Linked DNA regions of Tamandua tetradactyla. The protein of the gene in region 3 purifies or fractionates together with the protein of the main gene of each other region. This does not show direct contact. Links are inferred from orthologs where the notes say so. Each region holds a gene or a part of one and is shown on either strand. Other genes may lie near its edges.

The links.
Region 1: the proteins of SOD1 (region 3) and PRDX2 fractionate together in Homo sapiens (co-fractionation; 3 studies listed by BioGRID, with this or other methods). This does not show direct contact. The link is inferred for Tamandua tetradactyla from reciprocal best matches to the Homo sapiens genes SOD1 and PRDX2.
Region 2: the proteins of SOD1 (region 3) and HEXB purify together in Homo sapiens (affinity purification with mass spectrometry; 3 studies listed by BioGRID and IntAct, with this or other methods). This does not show direct contact. The link is inferred for Tamandua tetradactyla from reciprocal best matches to the Homo sapiens genes SOD1 and HEXB.

What each region holds. Positions count from the first base shown.
Region 1 is NC_135337.1:89,828,416-89,836,055, forward strand, and holds PRDX2 (peroxiredoxin-2), read left to right. Parts: upstream 1-4,351; 5' UTR 4,352-4,483; intron 4,484-4,962; 5' UTR 4,963-4,971; coding exon 4,972-5,074; intron 5,075-5,161; coding exon 5,162-5,315; intron 5,316-5,906; coding exon 5,907-6,029; intron 6,030-6,179; coding exon 6,180-6,310; intron 6,311-6,874; coding exon 6,875-6,960; 3' UTR 6,961-7,174; downstream 7,175-7,640. Other genes in the region: ribonuclease H2 subunit A, read right to left, coding at 874-961, 1,086-1,212, 1,343-1,414, 1,620-1,746.
Region 2 is NC_135347.1:57,697,256-57,705,322, forward strand, and holds the start of HEXB (beta-hexosaminidase subunit beta), read right to left. Parts: upstream 3,290-8,067; 5' UTR 3,193-3,289; coding exon 2,939-3,192; intron 1-2,938. UniProt on the Homo sapiens protein: Hydrolyzes the non-reducing end N-acetyl-D-hexosamine and/or sulfated N-acetyl-D-hexosamine of glycoconjugates, such as the oligosaccharide moieties from proteins and neutral glycolipids, or from certain mucopolysaccharides.
Region 3 is NC_135336.1:91,659,914-91,667,650, forward strand, and holds the start of SOD1 (superoxide dismutase [Cu-Zn]), read left to right. Parts: upstream 1-4,252; 5' UTR 4,253-4,334; coding exon 4,335-4,406; intron 4,407-7,729; coding exon 7,730-7,737. UniProt on the Homo sapiens protein: Destroys radicals which are normally produced within the cells and which are toxic to biological systems.

The DNA.
Region 1 (7,640 bases), on a different chromosome or scaffold from region 3:
AGGCTGAGGAAACAGCCAGTGCAATGGTCCGGAAGTCAGGCTGTATCAGGTATGCTGGAGAACAGGAGGCTGTGGCTGATGTAGAATGGTGAGGGATGAGATTGGGAGGTGGCAGGTGTCTCTGAAGCAGTTATCTTTTTCAGAAATTACCTTTATTCTTTTGTTTACCAGCGGACTGTCTCCCCTGACTAGGTCCTGAACCCCCAAGGGCTGGGCCCCTGTCTCTCTGCCCTCTGCCATCTCCTCAGTGTGGGGATGGGGGCTTTTTCCTTGCTACACTGTCCCAGCCTCAAGTACTTCTCCTTGTAATTCTCTCCAAACAGCCCCTTCACCTCAGGGCACTCAATGCAAGGAATCTGTTTTCCTCTGGTCACTCAATCCTCACCTTTCCCACTTAAATTGTGAGTTTTCCAAATTTAATTTCCACTATTATTAGGAAATGTTGAAATTTACATATTACAGAGATGACTGCGTCTGCTGGGTGGGGCTCAGACCAAAGGGAAGTAACACTGGTGGTAGAGGGGCCATGGAGGAGGCCAGGACAGGCATCCCAGCAAGGGGGAAGTCCTGAGCGAGGACAGAGGCTGAGGACAAGTAGGCAGAGATGAGATTTGTTCTGGACACTGAGCATTTAGGATTGGAGGGTAGGTTAGATGGGAGAGTGAGGGGCTGGGGGCTCCAAGGTAGTTCTCAGTGAAGCCTGCAGTTTGGAGCAGGGACAGGAGAGGATGTCAACAGCAAACATTCAGACATTCATGAGGCACTTGTAATGCATCTAATGCTCAATCTGCGTTTTTTACCCCCATTTTATCCTGAGGTGGGAGCAATCCAGGTATCAGAGTAGTTCTGATTGATACCTGTCAGCAGATTCACCTGGGAGACTTTCACACCCTGGTCCAAGGCGTACTGCACCAGCCCGGCGGCTGCATCGTGGGACAGGGAGTTCAGGTTGTACTTGACCCTGAGGTAGGGGACACAGCCTGGTTAACCCCTTTCCAGCCAAAGGGCCCAGTGAGCAAGTGCTCTCTGCCTCCCTCAGGGCGTTGGCTGCCCCTCCATCCCGCCCCTCCCAGGGGACCCCTCACCGCCCGAGCATGCTGGTAGAGATGAGGTTTGGAGACAGTACATCCAGTGCCCAGCCCACAAAGTCCCCGTCCTCCTCTATTTTCGCAAACAGCCTGTCCCGCTCGCTCTCCGACAGGGTCTTTGAGTCTGGGAGGAGGATTGGGAGAGAAGGAGGGCGCTGGTTCTCCAGGTTCCTGCCCTCTTCCTCCTCCTCCTCCACCAGTTTCCACACGCCCCGGAACCGCCCGATCCCCGCCCCCCACCACCCCAGACTCACCTGCCACTTTCAGGGCCTCCAGATCTGCCAGACGGGACACGGGGCAATAACAGATGGCGTAGACCATGGGGCCTGGAGAGGAAGGGGGTCAGATTTCTGGGCGAATCCAAGCAGTGAGCTCCTCAAAGCGCTCATCCCTGTTCCATCACCGCTCTTTTCGCCCACCGGTTCATGTCACGGCCGCCATCATCATCGCCATCACCGGCCCTCCTGGGTCATGGGCGAAGCGCACCCCATTATCGCGCCCCTCCCCCACCCCCGGGCCCCGGGGGCGCACCCAGCACGGGGCCCCGGCCTGCTTCATCGACGCCCAGGGCGCAGGGCTCCTTGCGGCACACTGCGGGCACCGGCGAGCTCACGCGACAGCGGCCCGTATTGTCTCTCTCCAGCTCACTGAGATCCATACCGCCGCCGCCTGGGCCACAGCCTCCAGCGGCGGGAAGAGGGCGTGTCCGCGCAGCTCTCGGCGCTCTTCTGGCGCGCTCGCTCCCGACCAATCAGCGCGCAGGACACGCCCCCGACGCCGTCCAGCAGACGCCGTCGCCGCCACGTGGCTTCCTGGGAATTGTAGTTTCTGAGGCCGACCGCGGAACACTCAGGTTGAGACGCGGGATGGGCGGGGCCACTTTCCAAGCCCCGCCCCGGGGACTCCGAAGCCCGGACGGCGGGGTCTGGTGCCAGGAGAAGGAAACTGAGGCGGGGACATGAAAAGACCCGGCCCTTTCGGAGCCTACAAGACCAGATACCACTAGCTTCCAGAACAAAGGGTCACTCCACATTCACTGTGTTCCTGTCTCCTACCTGGACTCCGGGTCCCTGACGCCCCGCCCTCGGCCCAGCCCAAGCCCCCTGGACTAGGTATCGCTGCCCCTTCCTGGGCTCAGGCCTTCGAATTGTGGCCCTTACCCTTCCTCTCTCAGTCGCTCACTCGGATCCACCCTCCTCCCCCACAGTCCCTGCCCCCCTACCCTCTCGTTTGGGCTAAGCCTCCCGGACCCCCAAATTAGGATCCCAGACCCCAATTACCAATCCTGGCTCAAGGTCGACGCCCGCCTGCTGCAGGCTGATAACCCCAAATCGGGTTTCTCCTTCACCCCCCGCGTCTCAGCGGGGCTCAGAGCCTTGGACCCTAGGCCACCGCCCCTGAACCTCAGGGTCCTGGTTCCCCCGTCCTCGCCCCCATTGACTGTCTTCCCTTCTCCCCAGGTGTCAGTGGGGTGCACGCCTTCTGTCTGTGGATCCCCAATCCTCACCCCTGAACCTAATGCCCCTGGACTTGACAGTCCCCTCCTGGCCTGTCCTCTCCACGCCCTTCTCTCACCCGGCCTCAGGGCCTCCAATGGCACTGGTCCTGCTGGCAAGATGGACAGTCCCGTTGCCGGCAAGGCCGCACCTGCACCAGGTTCTCTCGGTCCATGAACACTGGGCCTGGCGCCGTGCCCACCACCTCCCGGCTGCGCTCCTGCTTCCCCAGGTCGCAGACACAGCGCCACTTTCCCCACGGGCTCAGGATCGAGTCTTCCAGGTCTGGGGGAAAGGGCCGAGAAAAAGACCCAGGTTTGTGTTTGGGGGTGGGGCGGGGGGGGGGAGGACCTACCTGCCTCTACCCTCCTCTGGGGCGGAGGCAAAAAAGATACTAACAAATAACCCCAGCTCATATCTGTTCCTGGGGCTCTGCCTCTGACCAGTTCCTCTCAATCTTCCCAGCAATCCTGATGGAGAGGGATGGCCACTAGTCCCAGGTGGGGAAACTGAGACCTAGAGAGGGCAAGTCACCCTTCTGAGCTCACCCATCTGCTGAGCGGCCCAGGGGGACTGCAAACTGACACTTCCGACCTGTGCCAGCTTGCCCCGTTGGGAGTGTGGTAGAAGACCCTCAGTGCTGGCTATTGGGACACCTGTCCAGCAGGCACCATGCCACCAGACCAGCAGGGCTGTCAGATGGTAAATTAAATGACATAATCAAATGACAGAATGAGGATACTTAAAGCCTCTGGCGCTGTTCTAGCACACAGAACAAAAACAATTATGATTCTTTTAAAGCAGCTGCCACTTCTTATGGACTTACCAGATAGAAACCTGTCACCAGTCTTAAACCCACGGCCTGCTCACAGGGCCTTGACACCTCATTTGTTCCCTACCATCTCTTCTTCTCTAGGTCTCTGCCACCCTAGCCCTTTTCCTTTCCCTGCCCTCTTTTGGGCCTTTTGGCTTTTGCATTTTTGGGTCCCTCTCCCTGGCATACCATTCTTTCCCCACTCACCCTCCCAAGGCATCTTTGCATCTTTGGCCTTGGCTTCATAATGGATTTCTATCTCCTCCACCGGGACCTCTTCTGACTTTTCAAGCTGATCTCCAGCTTCTTTCTCCATCCCCGCCCTCCTAGCTCTTTTACCCACAACAAATTCACGTGCATCTGCTTTTATTGCCGGCCCACGCCCCCTCTCCAGCTATGAGCCGCTTAAAAGGCAATCTCCTTTCCAATTGACAGATGGAAAAACAGCCTCAGAGAGAAGTAACCAGCCCAATCAGACGCAACCAGTGTGGTGAGCCCAGCCGGGATCTGCCGTCCCGGGGAAAGCAGGGGTGAGGGGGGCACCTCTAGGCGCCCTCACCCCGGCCGCCCTGCGGTTACCTTTTTCCTGCTGCTGCTGCCGCAGCTGCTCCCAGATGTCGCCTTCGCCTTGCTCGCCAAAGTACTGGTAGTCCGGGGAGCCCTCGGAGGGGGTTGCCAGCAGCTGGAGCGCCAGGGGCAGCAGTAGCAGCAGCAGCGCCGCCCGCCTTCGGGCCATGCCGAGCTCCAACCGCCCGCGGCGCGCTCGGGGCTGGAGCCCCGCGCCGTGCCCGCGCTACCCCCGCGGATCCGCACAGTGGTCGGGCCCGGAGGCTGCATGTCTCCCCTCCACCACCACCACCACCCCCTGCCGCTCGCGGGCATATGGACCCGGCCACCCGCTCGCTCTCCACCCCCCACCGAAACCGGCGCAGTGGACGCGGCGGCTCAGCTCATCTTCACCCCCCCCGCGCGCGTCATGGTTCCGGCCGGGCATAAAAGGCCTGGCAGCCCTGCGCGCACTTGGGGCTGAGAAATCCGAGGCCGCGCTTCTGCTGCGTCCGTGCGTCCCGCCCGTGTCCACGCAGGTACCGCCACCCCGGGTGCACCGGGCTCGGGAAGGAGCCCCTTCCCAGCCGCCCCCGCCGGAATCCGGACCGATCGCTGGCCGCCCTTTGTTTTCCGCCCTCTGCAGCGGCCGCCTTTGTCCTTGCAGGGGAAACCGAGGCCGGGCGGCCGGAGTCCCCGCCCCCTGCTCGCGGGGGCCCTTGCCGTCTCCTCCCGGCACTGGGTGGGGACCCCGCAGCCACCGCGCTCCCTCCGACGCGCGAACTGGGGACCCGGCGGTAGCGGCCAGGCCGCACGTGCCGCGGTCAAGGGGGCCGGGTCCCCAGCAGCCTCGGGGCCGCGCAATACCCGGTACCGGGGAGGGAGGGGGTCACCGCTGCCGGCTGCGCCGCTCTCGCTCGGTCTCCGCGGTCCGCACGCAGTGTGACCTTGGGAAAGGAGGACAAAGGGGCCTCCGGGGCGCGCTGACCCGGCTGGGGGTGGGGCGTGGGGGTCTCAGCTTTCAGCCATGGCCTCCGGCCACGCGCACATCGGGAAGCCCGCCCCGGATTTCCACGCCACGGCCGTGGTGGACGGCGCCTTCCAGGAGGTGAAGCTTTCGGACTACAGAGGTGAGGGACCCCAGGTGCGGGTGGGGCCCGGGCAGAAGGAGGCCTGGGCCTTAACGCGCGACCTCTCCACTCCCACCCCCAACCCAGGGAAGTACGTGGTCCTTTTCTTCTACCCCTTGGACTTCACCTTCGTTTGTCCCACCGAAATCATCGCTTTCAGCGAGCGTGCCGGGGACTTCCGCAAGCTGGGCTGCGAGGTGCTAGGAGCCTCTGTCGATTCCCAGTTCACCCACCTAGCTTGGTAGGAGCCGGGACTGGGGGGAGGGGGAGGGTGGGGCGCAACTAGGTTCCCATCCTAGCGTCGTCCGTGCTGGCCTCGCCGTTGCTCAACCTCTTACCCTCCCTTTCACCACCTTGAGAATCACGGAAATTATTTCCATGGAAAACACCCTGGTCATTAAGGATTGCTGACAGCAATGAGCATGTGGAAACGAGCTGCTTGGCTTGGGAGTTGCACATGCTTTTTTTCCCTATAGTCCCTGGGAGGAAGGCGGGATTGCCTTAGTACTTGAAGGTGGAAAGTCCAGTTCCAGGAAGGGAAGGAGGATGGAGATGTGATGGCAGGATCCCTGCCTCAGGCTGGAGGCCATGAGGATGCCTAAAGAGGATTTGCTGGAGCATAAGCCTGCACATGAGTGCAGGGGCTTTAGTCTTCCCAGCTGTGGGAAACAGCTCCTGCACCCAGTTCAGGGTGGGGTGGGTGGTACTCCCAGGGCCCCAATATCTCCTGCCTCCAGCATCCCACTCCAGCCCTTATCACCCAGGCGCAAAGGGTAAGGATCTCACTGTGTGGGACCTCCTGAGGCCCCAGCCCTGTCTCCCCCACCCCCAGGATCAACACCCCGCGGAAAGAGGGAGGCTTGGGCCCGCTGAACATCCCCCTGCTGGCTGACGTGACCAGAAGCCTGTCCCATGATTATGGGGTGTTGAAGGAAGATGAGGGCATTGCTTACAGGTACTGAGGGACCCTCCCCCACCCTCAGGGAGCCCCCTTCCCATTTCCCCTCTATCCCCAGCTCTGTGGCTGGAGGTGGTCCATGCTCCCTCCAGCTCCTGGCCACAGGGAGTGTCCCAGCTCCTCACTACTGAACCCTGATGTCTTCAGGGGCCTGTTTATCATCGATGGCAAGGGAATCCTTCGTCAGATCACAGTGAATGACTTGCCCGTGGGACGCTCCGTGGAAGAGGCCCTACGCCTAGTCCAGGCCTTCCAGTACACGGATGAGCATGGCGAAGGTGAGTGGACACACAGAGAGCCTCTCAGTGGCTCTTGCAAACAATCACTGCCTGCCCTATCACCTGAGCAGGGGTAGGGGCATGTTAGGGCCCCCAAAGAAGGTTCAGCTCAAGGAGTTTCTAGTCTGGTGGAGGAGATGCCTCCTTGTAAGGGTGCGCAGCTGGGAGGTCATAGGGAACCATAGAAGGTATTCGAGGTTGCATATAGCACATTAGGCTTGGGGTATGTTAGTTGGATCCTGGTTAAAGAGTCTGAATGTAGATGCTCAAGTCCAGTAGCACTGGGGCTGAGGGTGAGACATGGGGTTGAAAACACCAAAAAGCAAGTGAGAATAAGAGAAGGAAAATGATGAGGCAGAAGATACTGCAGCTGGGCCTGTGAGGATAAACAGGTGCTTGGAGGGTGATGGGATGGGGCTTCTCTTTTTGAGCCTGGACCAATTGGTTCTTAGGTTTTTCTACTGCAACTCAGGCCCTTGCTTTGTATCTGTTCCTCCCTCCCCCCTGCCTCTACCTGGAAAATGGGGCTGTAGGCTCACACATCAGTTCTCATGTCTTCCACAGTCTGTCCCGCGGGCTGGAAGCCGGGCAGCGACACAATCAAGCCCAACGTGGATGACAGCAAGGAATACTTCGCCAAGCACAACTAGGCCAGCAGGCGGGTGAAGCTTGGGCCCTCTGCCCTCAGCCACGCCGCTGCCTGGGTGCCCAGTGCTGACCCTAGGAAAGACCCCTGTAGCTTCCCGGTTTGGGGCCCCAAGGTTCTTCTGATGCCCCCACCTGGGACCTGAGAAATCCCCTCTGCCCAGATCCCACTCAGCTGGGCACAGGCTTGGGGGGAACCAATAAAGTGTTAGGGACAGATGTGAGTGTGTCTGGGTGTGTTAGTCTGTCTTCCCCTCCCCCTGCCCCACCCCCACCAAGTGGTGTCTCAGGCCTCCTGTCTGGGAAACTGATCCTGTAGTTATTTACCGCCACCACAAGGTGGCAGCCTTACTTCATGCTCCCTCTACTTGTTCTTCCTTGGCAGGAGGGGGGACTGGGGGAACTGGGGTGTTTGCCCCTTGCAGGGAGCAATCCCAGGCTGTGTGACATGCTGAATCCTGGCCAGGCAGGACAGAGCATGGCCTATCAGCCAGCCCGGGTTCAAATGCTGTTGAATAGCCACCACCTTCCCTGCATCCCAGTAAAATGGGGTCAAGACTAGCAGCCTGAGTTAAAGGAGGCAAAGTGTGCCAAGCCTAGGGTGGGGACCCTGGTCCAGACCTGGTTACTAGGTTAGTTACCGTGATGGCTGCCAGGGGCAGGCTGTAGCCCAGTCTTACAAGGA
Region 2 (8,067 bases), on a different chromosome or scaffold from region 3:
AATCAACTTATGATTCCCATAAGACCAACTGGAGACTCGACCTGTTCCGTACATTAGAATCACTGAGAGGCTTTCTGAAAATACTCATGTCCAAACCTTAGAATCAGAATCTGAGCACGGGACCCAGGCTGGGGAAGTTAGTAAGCTCCCACACTTCCCCGTGACTGCTGAGACTGACTCAGAACCAGCAGCCAGACCAATCACGGTGATCTCATGGCGGACAGATTCTGCCCAGAGAGGAGGGAAGGGGGAAGGAGAGGGGTCTGGGAAGTTTCCTCTCCAAGAGAGCCACAGAAACGGTTCTTCTTTCTTTGGATGTGAGCCCGGGACCAGCTGTAGCCACACCGAGGACAGCAAAGCAGAGGCACAAAAAATCATGGATCCAGATGACAATGATGAGTCACTTAATCAACTGGCCCTAAAATATTTCCTACCTTTGGGCTTCCAAAAGCATCCTAGCTGATGAAAAAAGATCACCAACCCACAGGGTCCTCACAGGACCTTTAAAATTCACCTTCTGTTCATACACAAATATCAGGGAAAGAAGACATTAAATAAAAATGTAAAGGTGCTGAAGGATAAAAAGATCAAGGAGGTTTCAAGGCAATTGTTTAAGTTTATATATTCTGATAAGCCAGAAGGTTGTACATGTTACCCATGTGTAAGAGGGTCCTGTGATTTTCCAAGAGAAGGTAGGAGAGGGAGGAAAGGTCCAATGAGACTGGCAGTGTGTTGCCCTTAGTGAGAGAGGGGAACGGATGCAAGTGCTGAGGCCCCTTCTCATAGGAAAACCTTAACAGATGAAGAAGGAAATTAAGGCCATTAAAGCAGCTATGAGACCTGTTCCCTTCCCGGAACTGAGGAAGTGTGGCTATTCATTTTTTAAAAATGACTGACAGCACGTGCCAAGCTCTGTTCTAGAAACTGAGGAAGTAGCTGTGCACTTGCCTGTAACCAAAAGTGTACTGTTTCAAAGCCAGGTTTGTGATGGAAAATGGGCTGTAAAGAGAAAACAGGCCCAAGACTGAACAGTCTGGAGCCCACCCTGTGGGTCCCCACTGGCGAGAGCTTTCCGAACACCCCCATGTTCCTAAATCCTCCCCAGCCCACCACGCTTTAACTCTGAGATTGACAGAGTGTGGGCCCTATAGGACACACCTGAATGCTTTCAAGTCTTAACCATGAGGGCTACTATTTTCATAATCAATTTCATAACAATGCAGGCACGATCAGTAGCATCCTACACACAGGCAATGAATTACACAGTCAGGTGTAGTGAGGCAAACTCCAGGTAATTACCTGCATAGGCACTGGCGTGCCAGTGGTTTTAACATCACCTCCCAGCTGATTCAACTCCCTGGTTATCTAACCATTGTTTAATTTATGTCACTGTGCTTTCTTGCCATACTCCACAATTTCAACATATTACCAAGTATTTGTTTTTCCGGCAGTATAGCACAGAACGAAAATCCAATGTAAAAAGCTGAGCCCCAAAGCAAACAGAGTAAATATGTTTGTTTGTAAAAAGAGTTCCAAGCCTAGCCAAGATCTTCCTTTAGAGGGCCTTCAAGTACTTTTCCATAACATCCTTCTCAATATCCCAAGGCCACCAACCATTCTGGTTTTACTTTATCTCCCCAACTCTAGGCATCTTAACCTGTTAGGAGATTCAACATCAAGACCTCACTGGAGTCTTGCATTTGGGGACAACAACAGCCATTCCAGTTGTAGAAAACAAGAGAGGACAATGTGCCCTCCACACCTCGGGGCTCTTCAGGCTAAGCCCGCCCGGTACACGCCCAGGGACTAGAAAATATTATTACACTAGCCTTGCATTTTCCACCCACTGTGAACACAGGCAGATGCGCGGGCAGGAGGAGGCAGAACAGCGAGCACCAAAGCACACCTCCAGGGTTCCTTCAGGTCATTCCCGCCTGCCTGGGCTCCACTGGGAGACGGCACTGCGTGCTGAAATCTCTCTCCCGAGGCAACCCGCCTCGCACACTGGGCCTGGCCAGGTTACAGCCGGAGCGGTTTCCCAGCAGACGACCAGTTCTGTCTGCAGCCAAAGAGGTGAGAGAGCGAGGTGGCCCTGTAAACGTGACGTGCTCAGGAACTAAAGGTTTCCTCCCGGGTCTTGAAAACAGGAGGCGGCAGGAGGGGCGGACACACGGAAGCCGAGCCCCAGTCCTAGAAGGGACTGGACCCAAACGGCCGACGCTGCGTCTGCCGGGGCACCCTGGAAGGGGTGTTCCCGCGCACAGGGCTGTTGGGAGAGCTTCTGGGGTTCAGCAGTTCAGCTTTAATAAAACCTTCCCATCAAAGGTTTATAACACCTAAGGCAGAGTTTTGAATAGGTGAGAAGTTAAAAATCATGCAGAAGAAACCCCGAAAGAGAATATTTTGGCAGAGATGGGGAGAGGACGGCTTAAAACTTCAAAAAGACACCAAGGACCCTCTGGGGAGGGGGCAGGGGCGGGAGATGGGTGTCTACATGCCCGCTCGCCGACGCTGGGGGTGGCTTCTTCAAGGAGGAGCGCGTGTACAGCTTCGGAGGCATTTGTCTTTCTTCAAGGGAGCTGCGGCCACTGCGCTCCTCCCTTCCTCCAGCACTTGGGGGGCTCCTCTCTCCTTCTCATCCGTGCCCCCAAGCAGGGAGACAACGATGCTGCGCACCCCGCTCCCTCTGCACTGCTCCCTACCCGGGCCAGGGTCCGCGCGCGCCCCGGGCGTCCCCAGCGCGCCCCGGGCAGGGCCAGCCTTGGCCGGAAGCAGTTCCGCGGTTTTCTTGCCCGGAGACCGGCCAGGGCTGAGGCGCTGCGGCCGCTTCCCGGGTGGGGACGGGGATCGGACACCCACCCGGCGGCCCGCGCGCTCCCCGCCCAGCCCCGGGGTGGCCACGTCTCCCCCCGGCGCGCCCCAGCGCCCCTGGGCTCACCGACGAAACGCTTCCTCCAGGATGGAGCAGGCGGGGCCGGCCGTGGACCCGGGGCCGTGGCTGATGAGGAAGCGCTCGGGGGCGAGGTGCAGAGCGCTCGGGGACAGCTTCACCGACAGCGGCTGCGGCCACAGCGCCGGCCCCGAGGCGCGCAGGGCGGGCGCCAGCAGCAGGGCCAGCAGGGCGGGCAGGGCCAGCCGGGGCGGCAGGGACGGCAGGGGCGCGGGCGCGCGGCGCGGGGCTCGCTGCTCCATGGCCTCCGCGCTCTCCGCGGGCCGCCCAGCTGTCGCCGCTGGACCTTTGTCCGTCCCGGCCCGGGAGGAGGCGGCGCCGACGCGCGTGAGACGCCGAGTCAGGTGACCGCGCCCGGCCCGCTCCCCCCAGCCCCTGGTCCGCCCCCGCCCCGCTCAGCTCCGCCCCCCAGCCCCGGGTCCGCCCCCGCCCCGCTCAGCTCCGCCCCCCAGCCCCGGGTCCGCCCCCGCCCCGCCCCCGCTCCCCCCACCAGCCCCGGGTCCGCACCCGCAGGCCCAAGCCCGCGGGTGGCCTGTAGAGCCTCCCCCGCCTGAAGCGGAAACCGACGCCCGGCATTTAAGGGAGGAGCCCGGCGGGCAGAGCGTGGGACGCCAGCCCACGGTGACCCGGGACACCCAACTGCCCGCAGAGCCCTGGGGCAGCGAACCCGCAGGAGCCAGGCCTTTGGGGCCCTCTGTTCCATCCCAGTCTCCACAAATACCAGATAACTGACGTGGTGACTTAAGTTACTTAATCCTACATCTAGCCTTTTCTGTAACAGCATTTCAGCTTTAATATAACCTTCCCATCAAAGGTTTATAATGCCCAAAGCGGAGTTTTGAATAGGTGAGAAGGTAAAAATCATGCAGAAGAAACCCCGGAAGAGAATATTTTGGCAGAGATGGGGAGAGGACGGCTTAAAACTTCAAAAAGACACCAAGGACCAAGTTAATAGGCAGATGATGCCAAGAAGAAATACATTTGTGACAAGGGTTAATATTGTCAAAGTATAATTTTCAAAGAAGGTTTAAAACGTGATGCAGATCACAAAACAAGTCTCAGTAAACTGAGATATTGATTATGCGATATATCTTCTCTGACCACAAAGGAATGAAGCTAGAAATCGTTTACAAGGGAGAACAGGAAAACTCACAAATATGTAGAAATTAAACAATTCACTCAGACAACCAGTGGGTCAAAGAAGCACTCACAAGAAAATGGGTAACCCTGAGATGAATGAGAATGAAAGCACAGCCTACCATCTTATGGGATACAGCAAAGGTAGTACTTAGAGAAATCTGTAGTTGTAAATGCTTACATTAAAAAACAAGAACAAGTCAGTACCTTAACCTCACACCTGGAGGAATTAGAGAGAGAAGAGCGAACTAAATCCAAGATGAGCAGAAGGAAGGAAACAGTAAAGATTAGTGCACTGATAAATGAAATAAAGAGGTGAAAACAGAGAGAAATGACAAAAGTTTAAATTAGTTCTTCCAAGTGATCAATAAAATTGAAAAATCTTAAGCTGACAAAGAAAAAGAAGAGGATGCTGGTGACTGAAATCAGAAATGAAGGGGAGAACATTACTGCTGAGCTCACTGAAATATAAACACCTATAAGAGGATACTTTGAACTACTGTATGTCAACAAATTAGAGAACCTAGATGAAATGGAAAAATTCCTAGGAACATGCAAACTACCTACACTGACTGAAGAAGAAATAGAAGATCTCAACAAACCAATAACCAGTAAAGACATTGAATCAGTAATCAAAACCTCCCAACAAAGAAAAGTCCAGAACCAGATGGCTTCATTGGTGAGCTTTTATTTATTTATTTATTTTTGCATGGACAGGCACCCGGAATCGACCCTGGGTCTCTGGCATGGCAGGCGAGAACTCTGCCTGCTGAGCCACCATGGCCCACCCTTCACTGGTGGATTTTAGCAACCATTCCAGGAAGAATTAATACCAATCCTGCTAAATATTTTCCAGAAAATTGAAGAAGAGGGAGCACTTCCTAATTCATTCTTTGAGGCCAGCATCACCCTAAAACCAAAGCCAGATAAAGATACCACATGAAAAGAAAACTATGGACAATATCCCTTATGACAATAGATGCAAAAATCCTCCACAAAATCCTAAAGGACACTTATAATCTGATTCTATTACGAAATAGAATGAAACTGTGTCTAGGTTTTTACTCAACTCATTAATTAATGAATTAGTATGATATTTTCAAAATCATTAGAGCTATGGTTTTGGTTTGTCCAACATCCTTTCTCTTTCTTCTGGTGACAGAAACCCTCTTCTCCCTTTGGGAATGTTGGCGTCTCCATTCCATGCTGGTCATGTGACTTCACCAGCTTTGCCATAGGGGTGATTGAGACCAAGCCTTGATTGTTTTGGGATCCTTGATCAGGACTGGTATGGGTGGCTGAGGGACATGTGCTTTCTTTAAAGGGGTCCCTGCTACCCAGGCTGCCACTGACCATCATTATCGTAAGGAGGAGGATAAGGTCAATGCTGAGAAAAACTGAGTGGAAAGATAGAGATACATGAGGAGAGAAGAAAGTCTAATTGATGACATTTGAATCCATGGATTCAGCCACATTGTTTCTGATTGCTCTAGATCTGCTATTTTCTCTCTAAATAGTATATAGAGAGGCCTGTCACAAATGAATATTTAAGCTGGGAATTCATTATAAGCAGAGTTTTGTTTTGTTTTTTTGCTTGTTTTCTTGTGTTGTTGTTTCTTGGGTAGGGTCGAGTTCCTATAGGACACTAACCAATTTTTGACTCATTTAGTCATTTTATTCTAACATTGCTTCATTAAATAGTCTTTGAATCAGATTTATCATTGTCCGTAATTAAAAATGCCTAATCCTCACCATGGCCCACAGGGCGTGGCGGAATCTGACCTCTGCTCCTGTCACTGACCTCAGCGCTCTACCCTTGATCACCCTGCCTCAGGTGCATGACCTTTCAGTTCCTTGAATTCACGCAGCTTTCTTCACCTGCCAGGGTGCCAGAAGACACCAGCGAGATGGGGATGAGAAAGAGAACAGCAGGTCCTGTTGTTCCCTGGGCCGAGCACTTTTACATGTACCAACGTAGTTCAACAGCGGTGGTCGACCAGTTAGCCGCAGGGAGTAAGGACGGCAGGAGGGACTTAAGGGGAGTGATCAGATTTTAGGCGCAGACTGTGGGTCAGTAGCTTCTCAGTCATTCAAGATTTAGGTGCAGAGAATAAAATCCACTCTGGTTCCTCAGACAGGAATTGACTACAGACTAGCTAGTGACTCATAGAATCCTTGTGAGACCTAAGAACTCAACTCTTGGCTGAAACTGCAGGAACTACTGCTTCTGTCATGATCAGGAAGCTGCATGCTGTTGGAAAATCCTCTGCTATGGGTTCTAGTTCTAGAGTCACACCATTTCACAGCCTGTGCCAACAAAGCGGACCCCTCCTGCCCTGTCTCTCTCTCCAGCGAACTCACTTCTGTCTTCAAGTCTCACATAATTACATGTAACTGGCAGAAACTTAACATCCAACCACAGCAGCGAGGTGGTCTGGGGAATGTCGGTTCCAACGTCTCCAGGGTAGGAAACTTACTCGGAGGAGGTTGGAACTGACACCGCCTGAGCCACTGCAGCCTCAGACCTGCACAAGCATGTGGGCAAAGCACCTCGCTCCTGAGGGGTCCTGGACAGCCCGGGGAGCGAGGTGAGCCCCTGACACTGGACGTGCATCTTTCCTCTGGCTCCATTTTCCTGATCTCATGGGGTATCGATAAGCAATCCTGAAGCATTTGTGCATTGCCACTGCAATCATGAACACTGGGATTGCGCTTCATTTGGCATGGGGTGCTAAGGTGGACTCTTCCACGAGGGAAAGAAGGTTTGTGGTGAAACTTGGTCTGGCAAGCATTTTTCCCTGCTTTACTAAGATTAGCCCTAGAAGCCACTTTCTCATTTTGTTATCTGGTAAACTGCAGCACCTGGTGGGAATTTGAGCTGTCTTGCTCTCCAGCATTTTGCTTCCGCCTTCCTCTGTTGATGAATAGAATTTATACAATTTTGGAAAAAAAGAATTTATATCATTTTGGTATTCATTTGACTTGTTGGGGCAGGCTAAGTACCAAAGGCTAACAAAAAAGTGTCATCCACCCCGGGGCATTTTAGTAATCAGGAGCTACTGTGATGCCACAAAATGAAAAGATACAGTAATACACTAAATTACTAGGTGACTTTTAAAAAATATATTTTATCGAAAAAATCTTCATACACAGACAATCCATACATGGTATACAATCAGTGGCTCACAATATCATCATTTAGTTGTGTGTTCATCACCATGATCATTTTTAGAACATTTGCATCACTTCAGGAAAAGAAATAAAAAAATAAAAAGAAAAAACTTACAGATCCATCCCCCTTACCCCTCCTTCTCGTTGACTACCAGTATTTCAATCGACCCAATTTTTTTATCCTTTACCCCCCCATTATTTATTTATTTACTCATTATTTACTTTTCATCTTTTTTTTTTACTCATCTGTCTACACTCTGGATAAAAAGAGCATCAGACACAGGGTCTTCACAATCACACAGTCACATTGTGAGAGCTATATCATTATACAATCATCTTCAAGAATCAAGGCTACTGGAACACAGCTCTACAGTTTCAGGTACTTCCTTTAGCCACTCTTGATACACCATAAACTAAAAACGGAGATCTATTTAAGGCTTAAGAGTTACCTCCAGAATAACTTCTTGACCCCATTTGAAATCTGTCAGCCACTGGAACTATATTTTGTCTCACTTCTCTCTCTTCCCCCTTTTGGTCAAGAAGACTCTCTCAATCCCATTATGCTGGGTCCCAGATCATCTCGGGAGTTCTTTTTCCCACGTTGCCAGGGAGATTTACACCTCTGGGAGTCATGTTCCACATGGGGGGAGGGCACTGAGTTCACCTGCTGAGTTGGCTGAGAGAGAGAGGCCACATCTGAGCAACAAAAGAGGTTCTCTGGGGGGGTGGGAGTGACTCTTAGGCAGAATTATAAGTAGGCTTAGCATATCCTTTGCAGGAATAAGTTTCAGAGAAGGGTTGGCCTATTG
Region 3 (7,737 bases):
ACCCTTGCCCACTGATGGGCTACTTTTTACTCTCCAACTTCTCAAAGTTTCCCTCTCCTTCTTTCAAAAAGTTCACAATTTGGTAATGACAGCTTTGTCATTTACTTAGATTATTCAGACATGTAGAAGGAGCTAATGCCACTTTTACAATGTTTTCAATTTGTTTCCTAGTTACTAGTGTTTATTTCTTAATATAAAGAGTAAATCTCTTTCCTTGTACGTCACTTCTTTTGTATTTCGCTTAGTTCTGCCATTTTCCTACCATTCATATGAAAAATACAATATTTTGGAGAACTTTGAAGCAAGGGCCTTGGTGACAATCCCTTTGTGATGTGTGATATGAAGATTAACAGATAACTATATATTTACAGAGAATGATGACCACATAAAAAGGAAATCGCCTTGGGCCCCAGAAGAAAAAGATGATTTAGGAAAGAGGAAGGTGAGATAAAGGGAAGAGAGAAGAACGAGGGATAAGAAAGTAAGAGGAAGAAGAGAGAAAAGAATGGAAATGCAAGACCGAACTTGCTGTCCACCTTCTAACTCACTCCTTAGCCCCAGGAGTCCCTGAACACGAGTTTTTCATTCTCAGGAATGTCAATATGACCTATTGTAAACTGCTTAGTCATCAGCACATGCCACCATCTGATCCGAGCCACCATACCTCATCATCCCTGCAAAATCAGAACGTCTCTCTGGATTGTCATCCTTTGACCATCAGATTCAAATCAACTTCCAGTGCTCAAGCCACTTAAGCTACTGTAGGGTTCTCTCAACTTCTTGGATATTATGACTCTCAAAGGGACCAGACAGGCACAAGAGGGAATTTTCAAGATTGCATGTCTGAGTCATCAGGGTATACCCCAATCTGGAACACATGGACTCCGAGTCAAGATTTTGGGACAAGTGCACCTCCAAACCATAGCATCATGGACTCTTATAGTTGGAATGAACAGACCTGCCCTAACACTTGCAGGGTGGGGCAAGAATAAAAATTGAGGCTCTCATAAAGTAGGCTAAACATTTAAATGCTATAGAACAAGATAACATAGTTAAATGTAAGGTGTTCTAGTCTCTCACTCTGACAAATAAACATTCATGAAGACCTGGAAGACAGGTTCAAATGTGGAATTTTGGAAGACTTTGAGTTCTGTCCAAGAAAAGTGGTCATCAAGTAGGCACTGGGCCCTGACCCTGGCCTTTACTTCTTCTTTCCCACTGCTGACTCCATTCTGCACTGAGAGGGGCTGGTAGTTTATACAGCTTAGGTTTATACACGCTAAGTGCACAGTCCTTTGTCTGCCTGTCCAGGCCTTGGAAACCCGCACAGGGCTGTCTAGGCAGGGAAATTCAGGGGCTGCAGTGGTTCTCAATTGGGGGCCATTTTGCCTCCCAGGGACACCTGGCAATGTTTAGAGATGTTTTTGGTTGTCACACTGGAGGGAGCGGTGCTACTGGCATCTTGTAGGTAGAGGCCAGATATGCTGCTAACTCTCCTATAATGCATAGGATAGCCCCCCGCCCCCATAACAGAGAATTATCCAGCCTCAAATGTGAAACCTCTCATTAGGAAGACACAGATACCTGATTTAAATTTTGCTTAATCTTGTTCTAAAAAAAGGGGGTGCAGGGCTCTGGGTGGAGTACCTTCTTGGATCCATAGACTCTTCTCCCCACAGGGCATGTGGCCTGAGAACGGCCAGAGCAGGGCCCTCTGAGCACAGGGCCCAGGGCTGGGGAGTCCCTTGCCCAGGTGAAAAGGCGGTACTAGGAACAAACCTCAGATATTCTCTAATCCTGCCGGACCCCCAACAAGGGGCTGTGCAGGCTTCATCTGAATCTCAAAGGAGGAACAATTCTATCCCAGGGTAGCTCTTTGGAGGCATGGCTGCTTCCTTGGCAAGCTCTTGCAATGAACTGCAACCTGCTTGACAAGAGTTTTAGTTGCTAATCCTGCCAGAAATGCAATATATCAGAAATGGGTTGGTTTTATTTTGGGGGGAGGTGGTGGTGGTGGTAAATGGTCCAGGAATCGAACCCAGGTCTCCTGCATGGAAGATGAGCATTCTACTACTGAACCACACATGCACCCTGGATTGGTTTGTTTGTTTGCTTTTTTAACTTTTTAAATTGTATAATATATACAAAGCAAAGAAATAAAAAAGCAATAGTTTTCAAAGCACTCTTCAACAAGTAGTTACAGGACAGATCCCAGAGTCTGTCATGGGCCACCATACAATCCTCTCATATTTTTCCTGGGTTGGTTTTTAAAAAGGGAATTTATTAAGTTACAAGTTTACAATTCTAAGGCACTAAAAATGCCCAAACTAAAGTATCCAGAGAAAAATACCTTGACTCAAGGAAGGCTGATCTGGGGAGGCATGTGGCTGGCATCTGCTGGTCCTTTGGCTTCTGGTCTCAAACAGCTTCCCTGGTGTCATTTTCTTTCTGCATCTCCGAACATCTCTATGTCAATTCTGAAGCTTCTTCCAAAGTGTTTCCTTCTTAAAAGACTCCAGTAAGTGACACATCTTGAATGAGTAGAGACATCTCCATGGAAACCACCTAATCAAAAAGTCCCACCCACAATTGCGTGAGTCGCATCTCCATGGAAACAACTTAATCAAAAAGATCCCACTCAACAATATTGAATCAAGATTTTAAAAAACTGCTTTTCTGGAGTACACAGCAGTTTAAAACCAGCACAGTTAGTTTCCTGGAACACAAAGAAACTTTGGCCCTGAGTAAAGGCCCTTTGGCCAGGATTTGCAGGTTTATGCAACAGTGTAGCATATGCCAATTGTCTGCAGAATATCAGTAGGCACTGAAAAGCAAAATTAGAATGTGTGCACTTTCTAGAAGATGATTAAAAAAATGTGGAAAGTGAATCCCCAATACTGAATGCATGGGAGCCCAAAGGACTCCAAGATAAGTAGATAATACCCATTTACTTATTTTGGAGCAGCCTCTATTCTTGTTTCACATTGGGTTTGTATTATGACTCAGTATTTTGCATCCTCAAAATGAAATCCTCTCCACCAATCATTAGGGGGAAATGTAGGTTGTACTGAAGAAATTACAGAGAGATGGGGAGAGGATTTAAGTCATAAACAGCAAACAGAAATCTCCAGAAGGCATAGCTTTTCTCTCTTAAGTCTCTTCCTTGTTGGCCCCTACTGGGTTCTCCTTGTCTCTGGATCTTTCCTTTCAGGACACCTTCCTCATTTCCTCTTTTGAGTCAGGTAATTCTAGCTTTTCCCCCAAATCTACACGTCCTCTGGGAATCATAGGGTAGGTACTCTTTCCTTCACTTCTTAGTTTATCAAAGTATTTAGCCAACAAAAATGTGTGCCTATGTTTGGAGAATCCTTACTCTAAGAAAACAAACTCTATTGTTATGTACAACTACACTTTCATTGTAACACATTTTCTAAAAGAACAGCTTTAGTAAAAGTGCCCAGTCTCTTATCTATCCTTCTAGACATTTCTATGCACACAAGTAAATATGTTTCTACTTTAATTTTGACACAAAAAACTGGCTTTGACTATTTCATATTATGCTTTTGAAATATTTTAATTTAAGGATAAGAAACATTCTTTAAATACAGGTATCACAGTTATGTAACCCTTCGTGCATTTTCCTTGGGTATTGCGACAGTGGAGCCGGAGAAGCAGGAGAGGTACATAAAAATTGATCAGTTGTGGCCTTGTCAGACAAGAAAAAGAGGAAAAAAAAAACCAACGCAGAATTCTGTCTTATCAAGTTAAATAACACTGTGTACTAACAAAACTACAGGAAGGAAAGGCCAGGGATTGAGACGCGCCGAGTTCATCACCAATCAAAAAACCAAGCAGAAAATGAAAATCACAAAAAACACAGAACTTGATGCGTCCCAAATTCTAAATAACAAATGAGGCAGTGTTACGTCAAAAGTCAGTTGTACCTAAGGGCACGCCTAGACAAAGTGGCTTCAAATCTTCCAGACGTCCAGAAAACAGACCTCATTTTCTCAGTTTCACGTACTGCAATCCACGGATTACACCGTTTGGAAGAAAACGCTGTTTTTTTCCACGGTTTCAGATTTCTGGACGTTGCACCGCAGCACCGTGGAGGGAGCCAGCGGCCCCTCGGTCCCTCGGCCCCGCCCCCCCCGCCCATTCCGACCAGTTACAACCCGAGGTCCCGCCGGGGGCGGGCGGCGATTGGTTCCGGGCCAGTGTGGGCGTGGCCCGAGGATTCGGCCTATAAAAGGGCCGCCACGCGTCCCTCTCGCTTTGCGCCGGCGTTTTCCGCAGCTTCTCTTCCTGCTGAGTGTCGGGCCTTGCCGGGAGTCATGGTGACCAAGGCCGTGTGCGTGCTGAAGGGCGACGGCCCCGTGCAGGGCACCATCGAGTTCAAGCAGGAGGCAAGGGCAGGCGCCGGGGCCCGCGCGGCGAGGCCAGTCCGCGCACCTGGGCCGCGAGCGGGCGTCCGGCACGGGGGTGCGGGCCGCTCTCGCCACGCCCCCGCCGCGCTCCGGTCTCGGCCCCCGGCCGCGAGCGCTCCCCGCTAACACCCGCGCGCGGCCGCCAAGTGCTGAGTCACCGGGCGGGCCTGGGCGGCGGCGGTGCGTGACCGGCGCGGCCGCGGAGCTGGGCTGGGCCTGAGGGTGGGGTGGGGGTGGGATCCCCGGCCTGCCCCGCCGCGGGCCCGGGAGGGAGGACGCCCACGCCTCTGGGTGGTTATACAGGCTGGGCGGAAGGCTGGACCGCTTTGAAGGGGCTGAGGCCTTTCCTCGGGTGGGCACTTGCCTGGTCTTGAGTATCCCGCGCGCTCCGGGTGGCGCAGTCCGAGGCCCGAGGCCCGGGGCCCCGAGGCGAGAGCTTCCCCCAGGCCGCGCGGGCCTGGCCCGGGCAGACCGGTGGGATCCGGAGGTGGCCGGGCCGGCGTAGGTGCTTTCCCCCTCCAGTTATGCTTTCGGGCTGCGCTTTCAACTTCATGACCCTAGGTCAGGGCTGCGCAGACTACGGGCATATGCGATGCCGCGGCGCGTTTTTGTACAGCCCTCGAGCCAAAGGACGGCTCGTATATCTTGAAAGGACTATGAAAAGTAAGAATATACGGCAGAGACCGTTTGTGGCCCTCCAAAGAGTAGTTTACTGACCCTTAGGCTGGCTCATGGTCAGGCAATGCAGAAGAGCGATTTACGCCTCCAAATTTGACTCAGTTAACTTATTTTTTTCCTTCCCCAAAGCAGTGATTCTCAACCCTAGGTGCACTGTAGATTCATTTGGGGGCGCTTTTGAAAAAGAACTACAGACACTGGGGCCCACGCCTGGAGGGTTATGTAAGAATCTCTCTGAGTGAGGCCTGAGCACCGCTTTTTAAAAAAAGTTGTCAAGTCGATTCTAATGTGCAGCCAGGTAGAGGGTAGTGGGTGGGATTTTGAGATTTGGAAATTAGGGAGACCTTGGGCATTTCAATTGCGTTGAGTTTTCACTTAAAACTCAGGTTTTGGAGATCTTTAACCAAATCCTCTGTAAAATGACTTCAGAACTGCTCTATCGGTAGGCAGCTGGCTGAGATCATAAAAGACCATTTTTCTGAGCAAGTCTTGTAAATAGTAAGAAGTAATATCACTACTAGTGGAAAACACCTGTCTTGCAAGCTTAATAATCATTGGAGTATTTTTAATATGTCAGTGAGATTTAGTCTTAAAAGTGATTTAAAGTGAGTTACAGATGTGATTGGGCAGGAGTGGTAATCTAGGTAGGTGCCCAATCTGTGATTTGGTGCGAGAAAGAATTTACATCAATTGCAATGTTTTCCCCCCCTTTAAGTGGTTCCTAATTTTCTGGAAAAGGCTAGTGAACGTTTGACTGCATTTTACTGTATTTTCATCTGTCCAACTTTGTTTTACTCCTTTTTGTTCCTCTTCACATAACTCACTAACAATAAAGAATCAGAAGCCTCTGAGGGACTCCTCTGGCCTTTGGGAAATGACTCTTACCTAGAGGCACGGAAGGCTGGCCCTGAATCCATATATGTGAACCCTGGAAAGCCTTTTCCTGAGTGTCTTGCAGGTTTTTTTTTAAGTGCCATACTGCATTTTGGTGGTGCCCTTTGTACTTGGTAAAGGTCATTGGAGAGTTGAGCAGTACAACTGTACTGCTATCTGTAGATAACGCAGAGGTAATAGATTGGCTATAAACTGTATTTGGTTTGGCCTTTTCGGTTTTTGAAGTTTTGGATTAGTTCCCAGCTTTTAAAAATGAGAAATTTTCATCCGAGAGCTCAGATTCCTAGCTTTTCTTGAAAAAATTGGACATCTGCCCACACTGAGTCTTCATTTGCCCAGGGTAATACTCCTAAGCAGTTTTTTGCATCCCTTTTTGCTTCCCTGGTCTGTTTTTCTCATTCTAGATGGTGCTGGTACAGCTTAGTGTTGAAGAAAACAGCTTATGTATGCTGTATGTAGTGCCCTTTAAAGGAGGTTTGAAAGACCTTGCCCTTCAAAATACAGTCTTTGAGGGCTCTTGAGAACACATCGCCTTTCGGGGGACGAAATTCATATTTGCATTTTTCTAAACTTAAAGGTTGTACTTCAGAAGAATTATAGACTGTATTCTGCAAAGAAAAGAAAAAAGGTAGCAGTTGCCAACATACTTACTTGGAGCTGTGGAATTTATCCAGTGGAAAGCCAAATTTTAGGACCAGTGACACCTTTGTAATTGCTGGCCCTGGCCATTTAAAAACAAACCAAGCTAAAAACAAAGACATCAACATGTGTATTACTGTATTTTGTGGATGCTGTGTTTTATTATTATTAAGGTCTCCTTGTGGCTGCCAGAGTAACTTCCCTGGTACCTGAATGTAGCCATGCTGTGATGCCTTTGCCTGCATGGCGTGAGTTCTTTGTTTTTACGACTGCTTGAGTGTTTTTATTGTCCTTTCTTTTGAGACTCAGTAGTTAGATTGGAACAGTTATCTCGTTTTCAGTGCCCGAACCAGTACATAGGATTAAACTCATATGGTTAAACTGAGAGGAATGGTTGTACTCATTCCTCCCAGGCAGTAGGATAGGATATATTCTGGCTACTAATAAAAAATCTAGAATGTACAGTAAGTGGAGAGTGGTACAGGGCTCCTAAGGCAGCCAGTTGCCCATTGTCTGGGTGACATTTTTTTCTTTTTTCTTAAGGCAAATCTTTATGTTTGTGATGCAGAACAGTGTCTGATGGAGAAAGAACAGGGTGCTGAAAAGTGTATGATGTGCTGATGTTTGGGTTAAAATGTTTGATGTGTACACGTGCATGCACCATGTTCAAAATGACCTATCCACACGCATTTACAAAATAAGTCTAAATTCGTATTATGTGTCTACTGTAAGAGAGTCAAACCCTTCAAAGTATATACATCTAACATTTAAGTGCTCCCTGTGCTTAGCATTCTCTAGGTCCTTTTAATCTGCTGTTTGATTTCACCATGACGCTTCGCCCCAGTGAGTCAGGGAGTTTACGAACAAGGCCATCAGTCTCCCTTTCCTTCGGTCCCCCAGGGCTGGAGCAGCTAGAAGCTTGCCTGTGGCTCACACTTAGGAAGTGCTGGGTCTGGAGGTTGGACATAGGTTTTTTGGCTTCCAAGTCCATGCTCTCTTCACTTTACAGAGAATAATGAAGAGAAGTCAAATGTTGTCTTTGTCAGAAGCACGTGTTCTCTGAAACTAAGTGTGCTTTTCTTTGAATGTAGGGAACCGG